Macaca fascicularis: one gene and its partner. The protein of the gene in region 1 interacts with the protein of each later gene in a pairwise test. Links are inferred from orthologs where the notes say so. Each region holds a gene or a part of one and is shown in the gene's direction. Other genes may lie near its edges.

What was found.
Region 2: the proteins of MRFAP1L1 (region 1) and UBTD1 interact in binary tests that used the Homo sapiens proteins (3 or more experiments, as listed by UniProt). The two-hybrid records come from large-scale screens. The link is inferred for Macaca fascicularis from reciprocal best matches to the Homo sapiens genes MRFAP1L1 and UBTD1.

The regions. Positions count from the first base shown.
Region 1 is NC_088379.1:6,382,373-6,390,171, forward strand, and holds MRFAP1L1 (MORF4 family-associated protein 1-like 1), read left to right. Parts: upstream 1-2,851; 5' UTR 2,852-3,094; coding exon 3,095-3,478; 3' UTR 3,479-3,493; intron 3,494-4,078; 3' UTR 4,079-5,021; downstream 5,022-7,799.
Region 2 is NC_088383.1:106,511,474-106,517,940, forward strand, and holds the end of UBTD1 (ubiquitin domain-containing protein 1), read left to right. Parts: intron 1-590; coding exon 591-818; intron 819-2,824; coding exon 2,825-3,210; 3' UTR 3,211-3,891; downstream 3,892-6,467. Other genes in the region: ANKRD2 (ankyrin repeat domain-containing protein 2), read left to right, coding at 4,866-5,549. UniProt on the Homo sapiens protein: May be involved in the regulation of cellular senescence through a positive feedback loop with TP53. Is a TP53 downstream target gene that increases the stability of TP53 protein by promoting the ubiquitination and degradation of MDM2.

The DNA.
Region 1 (7,799 bases):
GCTAGGAGTTTGAGACTAGCCTGGACAACATAACAAGACCCCCGTCTCTACAAAAAAAATTTTTGTTTAAGCTGGGTGTGGTGCCATGTGCCTGTAGTCCCAGCTACTCAGGAGGTGGAGGCTAGAGGATCACTTGAGCTCAGGAGTTTGAGGCAGTGAGCTATGCTCATTCCACTGCACTTTAGCCTGTGCAAAAAGAGCAAGACTCTGTCTATAAGTAGTATAAGAGGGCTGGGTGCGGCAGCTCACGCCTGTAATCCCAGCACTTTGGAAGGCTGGGGCAGGTGGATCACCTGAGGTCAGGAGTTTGAGACAAGCTTGGCCAACATGGTGAAACCCCATCTCTACTAATAATACAAAAATTAGCCAGGCATGGTGGCAGGCACCTGTAATCCCAGCTACTTAGGAGGCTGAGGCAGGAGAATCGCTTGAACCCTGGAGGCAGAGGTTTCAGTGAGCAGAGACTGCATCATTGCACTCCAGCCTGGGCGACAAGAGTGAAACTCCATCTCCAAAACAAAACAAAACAAAAGACGTATAAGAGAGACCCCTTGCTCCTTCCATCCTCTGAGGTCACAGCAAGAAGGAACCATTTATGAACCAAAATACTAGTTCTCACCAGACAGAATCTACTAGCACTTTGATCTTGGACTTCCCATTCACCAGAACTGTGAGAAGCTGGCCACCTTATGGTATTTTGTTAGAGCAGCCTAAATGCACTATGACAGATAATAAATATTTTACAGCTGCTAAATGTTGGGGTAACTGGTTATGCAGTAATAAACTATTGAAGGAATATGCTACCATTTATTCATTTTATTTATTTATTCTCCTGTTGATGAACATTTGGTTTGTTTTAACTTTGGGGCTATTATAATAAAGCTGCTGTGAATATTCTTGTATATGTATTTTTATAAACAATTGCATTCAAACTCTCTTAAGTGTATAACAAGGTGTCAATTTGCTAGAACATAGGATTGGTATATGTTTAATCTCGGTAGATACTGCCAAATAGTTTTCCAAAATTATTGTAACAACTTACATTCCCATTTTTATGGGCTGAATATATGTGTCCCCCAATATTTTTATGTTGAAGCCCTAACCCCCAGTGTGGCTATACTTGGAGTAAAGCAGTAAGTAAGGTCATACAAGTGGGGGCATGATCCTATAGCTTCATGTTCTTATAAGAAGAGACACAAGAGAGCACTCCTTCCTGTACCCCACAACACTGCATGCACAAAGAAGAGATCATGTGAGGACTGCAGCAGGAAGGCGGCCATCTGCAATTCAGGAAGAGAGCCCTCACCTCCAGAAACCAGATTTGCTGGCACGTTAATCATGGACTTCTGGCCTCTAGAACTGTGAGAAGATAAATGTCTGTGTTTAAGCCACCCAGTCTATAGTATTTTGTTATGGTGTTCAGACTAGACTAAGACATCCATCAAGAATGTATAAGAGTTCCAGTTGTTCCACATCTTCCCCAATACTTGGTATTGTCAGTATTTTCAATTTTAGTAATTCTAGTGGATGTACAGTGCTTCCTCGTTGTGCTTTCTAATCTGCATTTCCCTGTTGAATCATGAAGTTGAAAACCTCTTCATATACTTATTGGCCATTCGGATATTCTCTTTTGTGAAGTGCCAGCCTATGTCTTTTGCCTGTTTTAAAATTTTGTCTTTTCCTTCTTGATCTATAGGAGTTCTCAATATATTCTGCATGAGTCAAATATCTTTTTTCACGGTGCCTTGCTCTTTCCCTCTTAATGTTCTTTTGATGAACATCTGCTGGAATGTTGGTGTTTGCAAAACTGTTTCGCACACGTCATCTTACAAATCCCTCTTCCCACTGACAGATATTCAGGCTGGGGCCATTGGTCTTTATCAGACTGGAAAACTGAAGTTCTGATCTGTGGCACTTGTGTAAGAAGGATCCCCCCTCTACACACACTCATATTACTACTAGTGTGGCACTGGGTGACTAAGCCTAGCAATAGACTTCTTCCATTCCACAATGGCATTAGGTTGGTGATCAAAACGTATTGACGATCAAAGCCACATTTACTAGGTCCCTGCTCATTTTCAGGTCTTGTGTGTGGAGGGACATAAAGGTGACCAAGACCAGAACCTGTCCCCAAACAGCCTCCAGTCTGGTAGAGGCACTTAGGTACTAGGCAATTCCTCTCTCTAAAGCATTCTCTAAGGCCCTGCTTGACGCCAGGCTGACGGAAAGGGCGGAGGACAGAACTGAAACAGAAGTTGCCCTTTACCTTGAGGACCTTACAGACTCTGAAGAGAGACCAAAAATCACGGGCCAGAACCACCCAAGGCAGCGAGCGAAATTCCCCCCAGAACAAAAGTATGAGCCAGGGGTGGGGAGGACAGAGGGACGAGTTCCATTCTAGAACACTGAGCAGGGACTGTGGACCCACATTGCTTTGAGCTCAAATCACGACTTTTAGCCCGGTTTTTACTTCTCTTATAGGTTCGTTGTGAGGGCTAAGTGAATTCATATAAATTAATCCAAGCTTCTGCATGCTTAGATAGTAAGCGCTGTGAACGCCAGCCAGTCTTATTCAAATATGGGGAAGGGAGGGTCATTTTTACTTTAAAAAAATAATAATAAAAGTAAAACCCCTCTGAAGGGAAGCTTTAGGGGAAGACGCGAACAAACCTGCCGCCACCAATCTAAATTAGAGAAGAGGGCGAGGCGGGGCGCCGGGAAGCTGACGGGGATAGCCATGCGCGCGCCCGAGACCCCTTTACGTGCGCGCGCCCGCTACTGGGTCTCGCCGAAGGCGTGACCGTAAAGGAGCCCGGCTCTGTCGTGAAAGGGCCGCAAAAAGGCCGAGGGCGAGTTGACGGCTGCGACTCCATTTCGCAGGTCGCTTTGCTGTGTGTATCCACGGCGATTCTTCCCACGGAGTTCTAAAGCTAAAGGCTTACAATTAAAAGGAAGAAAAAAAGTAAAGATAATTCGGGAGTACTATTGACAAAGCGTGTGGGCTCAGCCTCCAGCAATCACTGCTGATCTCCAGTCCCTGGGGGGTTCCGGTAAGAAGAACGCCCCTCCGGTACTGAAGAAGCGGCAGGAGGAGATGCGGCCCCTGGACATAGACGAGGTGGAAGCGCCTGAGGAAGTGGAGGTGCTGGAGCCGGAGGAGGACTTCGAGCAGTTCCTGCTCCCGGTCATCAACGAGATGCGCGAGGACATCGCGTCTCTTATACGCGAGCACGGGCGGGCGTACCTGCGAACCAGGAGCAAGCTGTGGGAGATGGACAATATGCTCATCCAGATCAAAACGCAGGTAGAGGCCTCGGAGGAGAGCGCCCTCAATCACGTGCAGCACCCGAGTGGCGAAGCCGACGAGAGAGTGTCGGAGTTGTGCGAGAAGGCTGAGGAGAAGGCCAAGGAGATTGCGAAGATGGCAGAGATGCTGGTCGAGCTCGTCTGGCGAATAGAGAGAAGCGAGTCTTCTTGAAGGAGGAGATCGGCGGTAAGGTCGGAAACTCGCGGGAGCTTGGATGGAACTCAGTAGTCCCCCTAAGCATGGTTAAACCGCGCCCTGTAAAAAGTTATGTTCTAGGCCTGCATCCCCCATTTTATCGCATCAAAAATTGAGCATTGGGAACAAAGTTGGGGTCAAGAGGAAAGAATGCGTGCTGGTTTTGTTAGGTGTTAGTATACCGTTTTTTTGTGGCCTCGCCCTCCCACACTGGTAATTAGAGAAAAATAAAAGTAACTTCGGGTTTGTTTTTGTGAAACGTAAGTCAGTTCTAATAGGGCAGTCGCCAGGAAGTAGACCTGTCTCGGCACTAAGGGAGTTTGGGGAAAGCCACAGAAGACCTAGGCTGTGGAGCACAATGGAACGCAGGCTGAGAACGCAGGGAAAGAAATAAAAGAGTAAAGCCAGAGGCCATTACCTGAAATTTCCAGACTGTTCTATGAGACAGGTATGTCAGAGGACCGTGTCTCAAAGAAGTGGCATTCTTCTGGGTGGTTCACATTTATTTTTAACATCAAGATATGGAACTTTGAGAGTCAATGTCTTCATGGTAAATTTCTCCCAATTGTGCTTTAGGTTCACAGCTGAGGACTGTAGTCAACTGGTAAGGATGAACTGACACCTTGAGGAAACTGAAACAGCTTGTCATTTTCTCTGTTTTGTTTTTGTATGTTTTTTACCCCCATGTAACAGTCTCCCTTATGGTCAGTGATTGATGACCTCGATATGGATTTAGATCATCAAATGTGTTTGGTTCTGGAAATACAACTTTTGTCGAAGAAATACTTTCACAAGAGAAATGGGGCTTAATTAAGTTGTTTTCGTGGTCACGTTTATTCTTGTTACTTCGCTGTGTTTTTGAAATGTTGGGCATGGCCTTGTATTTTGCTGTTACCTTTGTGACCTGATCGTTTTTTGGAACACGTCAAGACTTGGGATCAGAATCTTCCAACTTTAGAGGTGCAGTGGAAGATACTACGCTGCCTGGTTGAGCCTGGTGAAGAATGTATTAATGAGACTGCTTTGCATAAAGCTGGGAAGAACGAGAAGACAGTTGGAGATGGAAGGTGGTTTTGTATATATTTTGGAACTTTAGTTCCTCTGTGAGATGAAAGAGGAGAGCTATGTTTTGTGGCACATTGTCTGATATATATTGTGTAACCTGTCAGGTGAGTTGATTTAGACCACATAGCTGACCTTTTATGACAAGGCAGTTTGATTAGGAACTGTCGTAATACCCTCACACATTACAGGGGCATCAGAGAATGGCATCGAAGAGACAGTCTACAAAGAGCTTTAAGAGGCCAGAGAAAGGAAAAGACATTATCAGGGCCTGGAAAGTCTCTTCCAGTTCATCAGGGTAGTAGACCTGTCAGATTGGAGGTCAAAGTCAAACGTATAGTAAGTATTAATTTGCCTTGAAAAACAAAGACCTAAAAAGCCTTTTTTAAAAAATAAATTTTTTGTTCACATGACCAAAGCCCCTCCTGTGTGTGTTAATAAAAGAATCATAAATCAATCTTTTTGAAATGGATGTTCTTCACTGAGTGTCATCAAATGGGGTTGAACTGCTTGTAGTTAAAGGCTCTTGGTAAGCCTTTAACTGAGGGAGAATTATTTCTGGAAGGTGCTGTGGAGATGAGCTGACGGAACACTCAGTTCTGAAGAGAAAAACTTTTCGGCTATCCTCTGGGCCAAGCCCCTGCTTTTCAGCAGCAGAAGTGTGTTTAGTCAACCAGTGGGAATGTAACGTGCTTCATATCTTATCCAAGGCACTAGGAACATAAAGGTGAGACATGGATGGGACGAAGGTGTGGGACAGAAATGGAAACAAGGAATTGCGATATAGAGTGTGTGGATATCATGTGGGAGCCCTGAGGAGGGAGTCAACTCTTAGTAGGGAAGTGTGTGAATTCAGAGCAGGTGACTTACCTGGGCCTGAAAAGTAGAAATGAATGAAGACATATAAGGCATAAGGATCAAAGTGAGCAAAAGCCTTTTGAGTTCCAGCACTGGGGAGACGGCCAGTGAGCTGGATGTTAAGGAGCCTGGAGGGGGTTGTGGGAGACAGAGTGAAACTGGCAGGCGGGGCCAAGAGATCTTCGTTAAGGAATTAGTTGATCTTCATAAACCTGTACTTGAGTGAGGTTTCTTCACCCTGGCATGTTTTCTCACAGAGTGCTAGTGGATGCTCAGAGCCATAGCGTAGGCATGGTACAGTTTCCAGAATTACTACATCTAATTTCGTAAAAATATGATCGTAATAAGCTCAGATACACGTTTTGGATTAATGTGTAAAATAGGCATTTTAAAAATCAAGTACCTGAGCACAGAAAAATCACAGAAGCTGTTTCCGGCTTTGTCGTGATATCTAAGATCCTTGCTCATGTGCCTGCCTGTCTGTTTTCAGTAAAAACGAGAAGTACAGCTGGGGAGCCATAATTTCTGATAATCAGGGAAATGGCTGTCACATCTGTAGTTTAGAAAGATTACTCAAGACTGGGTATGGATTAATGTGAGTGTGGGCTATAAGGTAGCGGCAGGTGCAGAAGTAGAGATGGGAAGTGAGGGCCTGAACTGGGGCAGAATGAGTGGGAAGGACCAGCTAGGCTTTTCTGGAGCCAAGACTTGGTGTCTTTCTGTATCAGTCAACTAGACTAAACTGCTGTAACAGTTTACCCCAAAGCCTTAGTGGCTTGCAACACCCGAGGATTTTTTTTTGTTATTCATATTGATCTATTAATACATTGTAGGTGAGTTGTTCCATATTCTCTTACTTCCAGGAGCTGGCTGAAGGAGCAGCTGCTCTTTGGGATATTGTGGATCTTGATTGCGAAAGCTGTTATTTACAAGTTACCTGACAGATTTAAATGCTTTGGGGGTGAAAAAACTGAGTCCTATACATACACACTCATAGACACACACACACACATACTGTATATGTGCTATATGCATATACATGTGTGCATATATACTATGTATATGTATGTTTTTCCCCTCGATTAACTGACCATAGATTATATTCATACGTAGGATTGCATTTCATCTCTTCAGTATCCTAGGGGGTTTTTTTTTTCTTTCTTTCCTAAGTCTCCTTCAAATTTAGAGCCTAAAGAGTGTTCTGAATCATTTTTGAGCCTTGACTCTTAGGCAGAGCACTGTAGTGACAGGCTAATTGTCTTAACCCATGCTGTGATGAAAAAATAATTTAGAGACGTTGAGAGTTTTGTCTCGATTTCCTATTTAACTTACACATTTTCCTTTCATTGAATGATGTTATCAGTGGAATTTTAACAACTTCAAAGTCATCTAGAAAATTTGGATTGGCTTCTGTTAGTAGCTCTGAAAGTCATTGGTCTGTCATGTGTGAGTCATTCATGCCCAACCTCCCCTTGCTCTAAAATCTGAAATTCTGTGCTTTCTTCCAAAAGACTGGGCAAATTCTTTAACCTTCACTTTCATCGGCTGGCTAGTGATGGCTGAGTCTTCAATAATGTTTTGTTTGACTGCTTCATCCCAGAGTTTTGTGTTTTCTGAAAATATTTTTAATGTGCAATATCCGTATGGCTCACTGTGCCACTTTTCTAGTCTGCTCAGATGTTACAATACCAGAGAGGTCTTCCCATGCCACTCTTTTTAAAATAGCACTGCCATCCCCTATTACTCTCTGTCTTATTTTATTTTTCTTTTTTTTTTTTTTTTTTTTTTGAGACGGAGTCTCGCTTTGTCGCCCAGGCTGGAGTGCAGTGGCCGGATCTCAGCTCACTGCAAGCTCCGCCTCCCGGGTTTACGCCATTCTCCTGCCTCAGCCTCCCGAGTAGCTGGGACTACAGGCGCCCACCACCTCGCCCGGCTAGTTTTTTGTATTTTTAGTAGAGACGGGGTTTCACCATATTAGCCAGGATGGTCTCGATCTCCTGACCTCGTGATCCGCCCGTCTCGGCCTCCCAAAGTGCTGGGATTACAGGCTTGAGCCACCGCGCCCGGCCTTTATTTTTCTTTTCATTACTTAATGTGTGATTGTGCATTTTCTGACTTCTCTCTGTAGAATGTCAGTCCCTTGAGGGCAGAGACTTTATTCACTGCTGAATTCCTAGCACTTAGAGCAGTGCCTGGCACCTGGTTGGTACCTAATAATCATTGAATGAATAAGTGCCAATTAAGTATGTAGATTAACTTAATTTTGTCTGCTACCAATGCAATTAACTCAGGTGAATTTTCTGAGCCAGAAACTTTAGTGTCATTCTTAATGCCCCTCCTCAGCAATCCCCTTTCCATCCCTTCTAGCACTATAGCA
Region 2 (6,467 bases), on another chromosome or scaffold:
TCCTACTGCCTCCCAAAGCACTGGGATTACAGGCATGAGCCACCGTGCCCTGCCCCACATGATCATTCATTCAATCACGCCTGTAATCCCAGCACTCAGGAGGCCGAGGCGGGCGGATCACAAGGTCAGGAGTTTCAGACCAGCCTGACCAACATGGTGAAACCCCATCTCTACTAAAAATACAAAAATTAGCCAGGTGTGGTGGTGGGCATCTGTAATCCCAGGTACTCAGGAGGCTGAGGCAGGAGAATCGCTTGAATCTGGGAGTCAGAGGTTGCAGTGAGCTGAGATCATGCCACTGCACTCCAGCCTGGGCAACAAGAGTGAAACTCCATCTCAAAAAAAAAAAAAAGCAACAAAAACAATGGTAGCATATGCTTTGCTGACACAATTATTTTATGTCCCTAGGTTGGTTATGTGAAGTTTCCTGACTCTTCCCTGCTATTTAGGAAGGGCTTCAGAGACCTGAATACTTAGTAGCCAGTGCAGCAGGGTTTCAGGGTCTGGCCTGGGAGGGTAGAGGAGGGGGAGGGCAGGTTGCAGCTCAAGTAGCTTTAGAGATGCTGAGCCTCTGCTTCTGTCCTGCCCAGGACGCAATGAGCCCCTGAAGAAAGAGCGGCTCAAGTGGAAGAGCGACTACCCCATGACTGACGGGCAGCTGCGGAGCAAACGGGATGAGTTCTGGGACACAGCGCCTGCCTTTGAGGGCCGCAAGGAGATCTGGGATGCCCTCAAGGCCGCCGCCTATGCTGCTGAAGCCAACGACCACGAGCTGGCCCAGGCCATCCTGGATGGAGCCAGCATCACCCTGCCTCATGGTAAGTGGACAGGGCCAGGGCTTTATCCCCGCTGGAACTCGGGGGTCACCAGCACAGTTTGAGGGTGTTGAGGGGTGTGGAGCGGTGGGGCAGGTGGTTACTCACGTGTTCATTCCTTCAAGCAACCCTTACTGAGCATGGACCAGGAGTGGGTACACAAGGAAAATGAGAAAATGAGACACAGTCTGTGCTTGCCTAATGACACGACAGAAAGACATCAACAAACTTGTAAAGCAGTGTCACAAATGCATTTTGGGACCCTAGAACATCCAAGGCACCGACCTTTATTTTATTTTTTATTATTTTTTTTTGAGATGGAGTCTTACTCTGTCGCTTAGGCTGGAGTGCAGTGGTGGGATCTCAGCCCACTGCAACCTTTACCTCCTGAGTTCAAGCAATTCTCCTGCCTCAGCCTCCTGAGTAGCTGGGATTACAGGCATGTGCCACCACGCCTGGCTAATTTTTGTATTTTTAATAGAGACCGGGTTTCACCATGTTGGCCAGGCTGGTCTCAAACTCCTGAGCTCAAGTGATCCACTGGCCTCGACCTCCCAAAGGCACTGACCTTTTATTGGGTCATTATGTGCTGGACACTGATCTAGAAACTTCCACTGCATTAGCTCACATAAGTTCATAGTAGCCTTATGGGGCCATGTAAAGCAGAGGGTAACAGTGGAGCTCTAGAATCACAGAATTGAGTTTCTTTTTTTTTGAGATGGAGTTTCACTCTTGTTGCTCAGGCTGGAATGCAATGGTGCGATCTTGGCTCACTGCAACCTCCGCCTCCCAGGTTCAAGTGATTCTCCTGTCTCAGCCTCCTGAATAGCTGGGTTTACAGGCATGCGCCACCAGGCCGAGCTAATTTTGTATTTTTAGTAGAGACAGGGATTCTCCTTGTTGGTCAGGCTTGTCTTGAACTTCCACCCTCAGGTGATCTGCCCGCCTTGGCCTCCCAAAGTGCTGGGATTACAAGTGGGAACCACTGTGCCTGGTCACAAACCTGGGTTTCAATCTGAATGTTTCCCTTTCCTAACTATGTTGCCTTTAGCAAGGAGCTTCTCAAATTTAGAGCCTGAGTGTCTTACAACTGTAAAGGGGAGATAATTATTAGGATTCAGCAAGATACATATAACATGATTTAGTCCAGTCCCAGCATTTAGTAGGTGCTCAAGAGACAATAAACATATTTCTGCATGCATTACATTTTACCAGTAAGGACACTAAGGCCCATGGAAAGCAGAGCTGTGCTGTTTCATTCATTCCTGTAACCCCAGCATCTGGCACATGTGAAGAAATGAAAAATAATATGCCAGGATGAAAAAGCCAGCACCTGGTGGAGCTGGGATGCCAGCTCAGGTATTCCTGACTCCAGTCCTGTACACCTAGTCATCAGGCTGTCCTAGGGAGATCTGACTGTGGGGTGGCCATGGCAGGTGTATTAGTCTGCTCAGGCTACTGTAACAAAATACCACATGCTGGGTGACTTAATCAAGAGACATTTATTTCCCACAGTTCTGGAGGCCGGGAAATCTGGCATCATGGTGCTGGCCAGTTCAGGTTTTGGTGAAGACTCTCTTGCTGGCTTGCAGGTGGCTGCCTTCTTGCTGTGTCCTCACATGGGGAGTGAGTGGAGAGTGAGATAGTGCTCTAGTGTCTCTACAAGAACTATAAGCCAGGGCAGTGGAGCACACCTGTAGTCTCAGCTGCTCGGGAGGCTGAGGTGGGAGGATTGCATGAGCCCAGGAGTTCGAGATCAACCTAGGCAACATAGGGAGATCTTGTCTCAAAAGAAAAAAAAAAGAACCATCCTTCCGATCAGCAGACCAGAGGGTCAGGGCCCCACCCTATGACCTCATTTAACTTTAAGTATTTCTCTATAGGCCCTGTGTCGAAATACAGTCACACTGGGGGTTAGAGTTTCACTATATGAATTTGGGGGAACCCAAACATTTAATCCATGATAGTGGATCCCCAAGCTGATTCTGACAGCCCTGCCTCTCCTGTAGGCACCCTCTGTGAATGCTACGATGAGCTGGGCAATCGCTACCAGCTGCCCATCTACTGCCTGTCACCGCCCGTGAACCTGCTCCTGGAGCACACGGAGGAGGAGAGCCTGGAGCCCCCCGAGCCCCCACCCAGCGTGCGCCGTGAGTTCCCGCTGAAGGTGCGCCTGTCCACAGGCAAGGACGTGAGGCTCAGCGCCAGCCTGCCCGACACGGTGGGGCAGCTCAAGAGGCAGCTGCATGCCCAGGAGGGCATCGAGCCATCGTGGCAGCGGTGGTTCTTCTCCGGGAAGCTGCTCACAGACCGCACACGGCTCCAGGAGACCAAGATCCAGAAAGATTTTGTCATCCAGGTCATCATCAACCAGCCCCCACCACCCCAGGACTGATGGGCCCACGGACCCCTGGGAAGAGGCCCCGCCTGGAGCACTAGGCCTCTGCCCTGCTGCTGCCTTCCAGTACTGTCATTTTCTGCAGGGGCCCTCCCCTCAGTTTGGCTGATGGGCGAGCTGTGAAGGGACCCTGCCTTTCAGGGCACTACGTGCCACCAGTTCCCGGTACCCAGGGAGCAGGCGGCCACACACAGGCCTTGCAACCTTGTCAGAGAACAGGCGAATGGGGCCCTCACCCTGCCTCTCTCCCGCAGCAGGTTCGAGCCACAAGGGCCAGCCAGGAGGCCCCTGGAGCCCAGATCTGTCATCTGGTGCTGCCAGCTGTGCTCACTCCGGTTTTCTGCTCAGGGTCTGAAGCAGCTGCTGTCTCCCTCCTCTGCCCCCATCCCCTGGCTCTCCCCTGGGCACAGTGCCACTCTTGGAAGGGAGGGAACCACCCGTGAGCCCCAGGGCTCGGGAAGCCTGAGGCGGGCCTCTGCCTCTCTCTGCCCCCAGCACAATTGGCAGAGATGAGGCGGGTGGTGGACGGCTGGGCTGTCGTGGCAGGGTCTGCACAGGGCCATGTTCTGGCTATAACCCAGGCAGTGGGAGGTCTGCAGCCTTGTCGTGGCCCCCACAGCAGGTCCCTGTGGACAGACATATCTGCATATTTATCAATAAAGCCTTTTGCTCCTTCTCGCTTGCCTGGCATTTGACTGAGTTCTCCTGCAGCCCTGTGGGGCTCCTGGAGCTGTTCTGGTATGGGAACAGGTGGATGCCTGGCCTCCCCAGCTGCTCTGGGCATGCCATCTCCAGCAGAGTGAGCCTGGAACTGCCAGTCTTCTGGGCCCTGATCCCAGCTCCCCTGGCGTCCTCATGAGTCCTCAGGAAAAGCCACTTAACCTCTGAACCCTCTTTGCTTTTCTTTAAAGCAGAGCCATGCTACCTGCCCTGCCTCCTCCATCAGTTGCTGGGAGGATTACGCAGGAAGACAGATGTGAAAGTGCTTGCAAGGCGAAGACAGCACCTCAGGAAGGTGGTCTGCTCCTGCGGCGGGGCTCGTTTCCGGCCCTTGGAGACGCTGTACCCATCGTGATGTTAAAGCAAAATCTCTGACAGATTTAGATCATGTGTCAGAGGTTTGTGTCAGATTCCCAGCAAGGGAACCGGAGAGGAAAAGGAACCAGTTCCTCATGCTTCCTAGGGGAATGTGTGCGTATCTGAAGAGAGGGGAATCTTATATAAGGCTATTTAGCTAAGAGCAGCCACCAGCCAGGTGAGCCTTACAGAAGCACAGGGCCGGGTGTCTGCAGTTCCCTAGCAGGTTAACCTGAGTCACAGTGAGCTCAGTGGAACTGAGCAAGTACAGATCTGATTTTGCTCCAGTTGGGAGTATTTTTCCTTCTCAGTGAGCATGGGCAGCCTCCTGGCCAGGGAAGTCTAGTACTGTCTGGGCCTGGCAAGGAAACCCTGGGAGGGCAGGAGGATCCAGAGTAGCTGCTGCTCCTTGCCAGCTGGGCTTAGTGCTTTCCGGAGACCCCTCTGTTGAAGCAAGACTCTGTAAGCCCTGCAGAGGTTCCCTGAGCACTTACCAAGGGAGGAGACAGATTTGATAAGGTTTGTTCGTGACTAAAAGTCACCCAGCCAAATGCAGTGGTGCTTAACTGGGGAGCATGTGGGACCCCGGAGAGCCTAAGGGCAGCGTGAGCTGTGATCAAAGAGGGAGACAACTGCCCTTCCTGCTACCACGGCCCTGGGCTGGACAAGTAGAGTGTGATCCTCCTCACAGCCAGCAGGGCCTGTCTGCAGGACAGCCTGGGAGTACAGAACTGTCCTGGGTCCCCACGTTTGGTTTTCAGGCCCTCTTCCTGGAGCTGGCTGAGCAGGGTTTCCAGGCATCCAGCAGGGGGCACTGTCATCTGGGCTGGAGCATGCAGCCGGCAGGTCCCTTGTGCAGCCCAGCTGCCTTGGCTAAGGCCCAGCCAGGCCCAAGCGCTCAGGACAGAGGCTGGAGAGGCTCCTTCCTGCAGCCCTGCTCTTGGGACACGGTGCCCTCCAGCTCTAGTAGGCCAGGAGTTGGCGGGGCAACTGGCCTTGTTCCCTGGCCCTGGCTCCCCCTGCTCCCTGGGGCTGCCCGAGGTGAAGGTGACAGGTGGGGGAGGCAGGTGGAGAATTGGGCCAGTGAGCTCATGGCAAAGGCGCCCAGCTGGGCAGGGGTGGGTGCTCTGGCCTATAAAGCCCCCGAGGCGCTGTGGCCTGCAGAGGCGGTTATGGACGGCACCATGGAGGACTCCGAAGCGGTGCAGAAGGCGACGGCGCTCATCGAGCAGCGGCTGGCACAGGAGGAGGAGAATGAGGTGCGGGCAGGGGTGGAGGTGCCCAAGGGAGTCTGAGGAGATCCAGCGCTGCTGTCAAGGGGAGGGAGAGCCTGTCTGCTACACCTGTGGTGGGGAGGGGGGTAGATGTCCCCAGGGGCCCAGTTGGGCCTCATTCCTGTCTCAGGGTATTACTGGCAGAGGGTATTGCTGGCAGCAGAAGACTGAGGCTTCAGCCTCCAAAACCGAGTCAGTGGGGTGGGAACCTGGGCTGGGCCTCCTAAGAGTGCTCACCCTCCTGGGCCTTGAGAGACAGTGGCTGTACAAAGCAGACAGCTGGGTACTCCCTGGGACTGTCAGGAATGTGTGGCCCTGTGATGCTCCAGTGATAGACTGGAAGGCTGGGGCAGGGGAAACTCCAGTGTCTGGCCACTGAAGAAGAGAGTGAGGAACAGTGAGGAAGGGATGCTGGGAAAGGAAGCATGGATTTTGCCAGCCTGCTGGCCACCCTTGGGGGGACCTTTGGAATGTGGTGTTCTGGGCAATTGCATTTTCTCTGGGATAAGGAAGTGGAGCAGTGGCAGGGGGTGCTGGCTTGTACTAGTCTTCATTCTTTTTTTGAGACGGGGTCTCCCTCTGTCGCCCAGGCTGGAGTGCAATGGCACAATCTTGACTCACTGCAACTTTTTCCTCCTGGGTTCAAGCGATTCTCCTGCCTCAGCCTCCTGAGTAGCTGGGATTACAGGCATGCACCACTATTTTTTGTATTTTTAGTAGAGATGGAGTTTCACTATGTTGGTCAGGCTGGTCTCGAACTCCTGGCCTCGGGTGATCTACCCGCCTCGGCCTCCCAAAGTGCTGGGATTATAGGTGTGAGCCACCGTGCCTGGCCCCTACTCTTCATTTTATTTAAACTAATACTTCATCTAGTGTCGGCTGTGCCAAGAGTCCAGAGCTGTA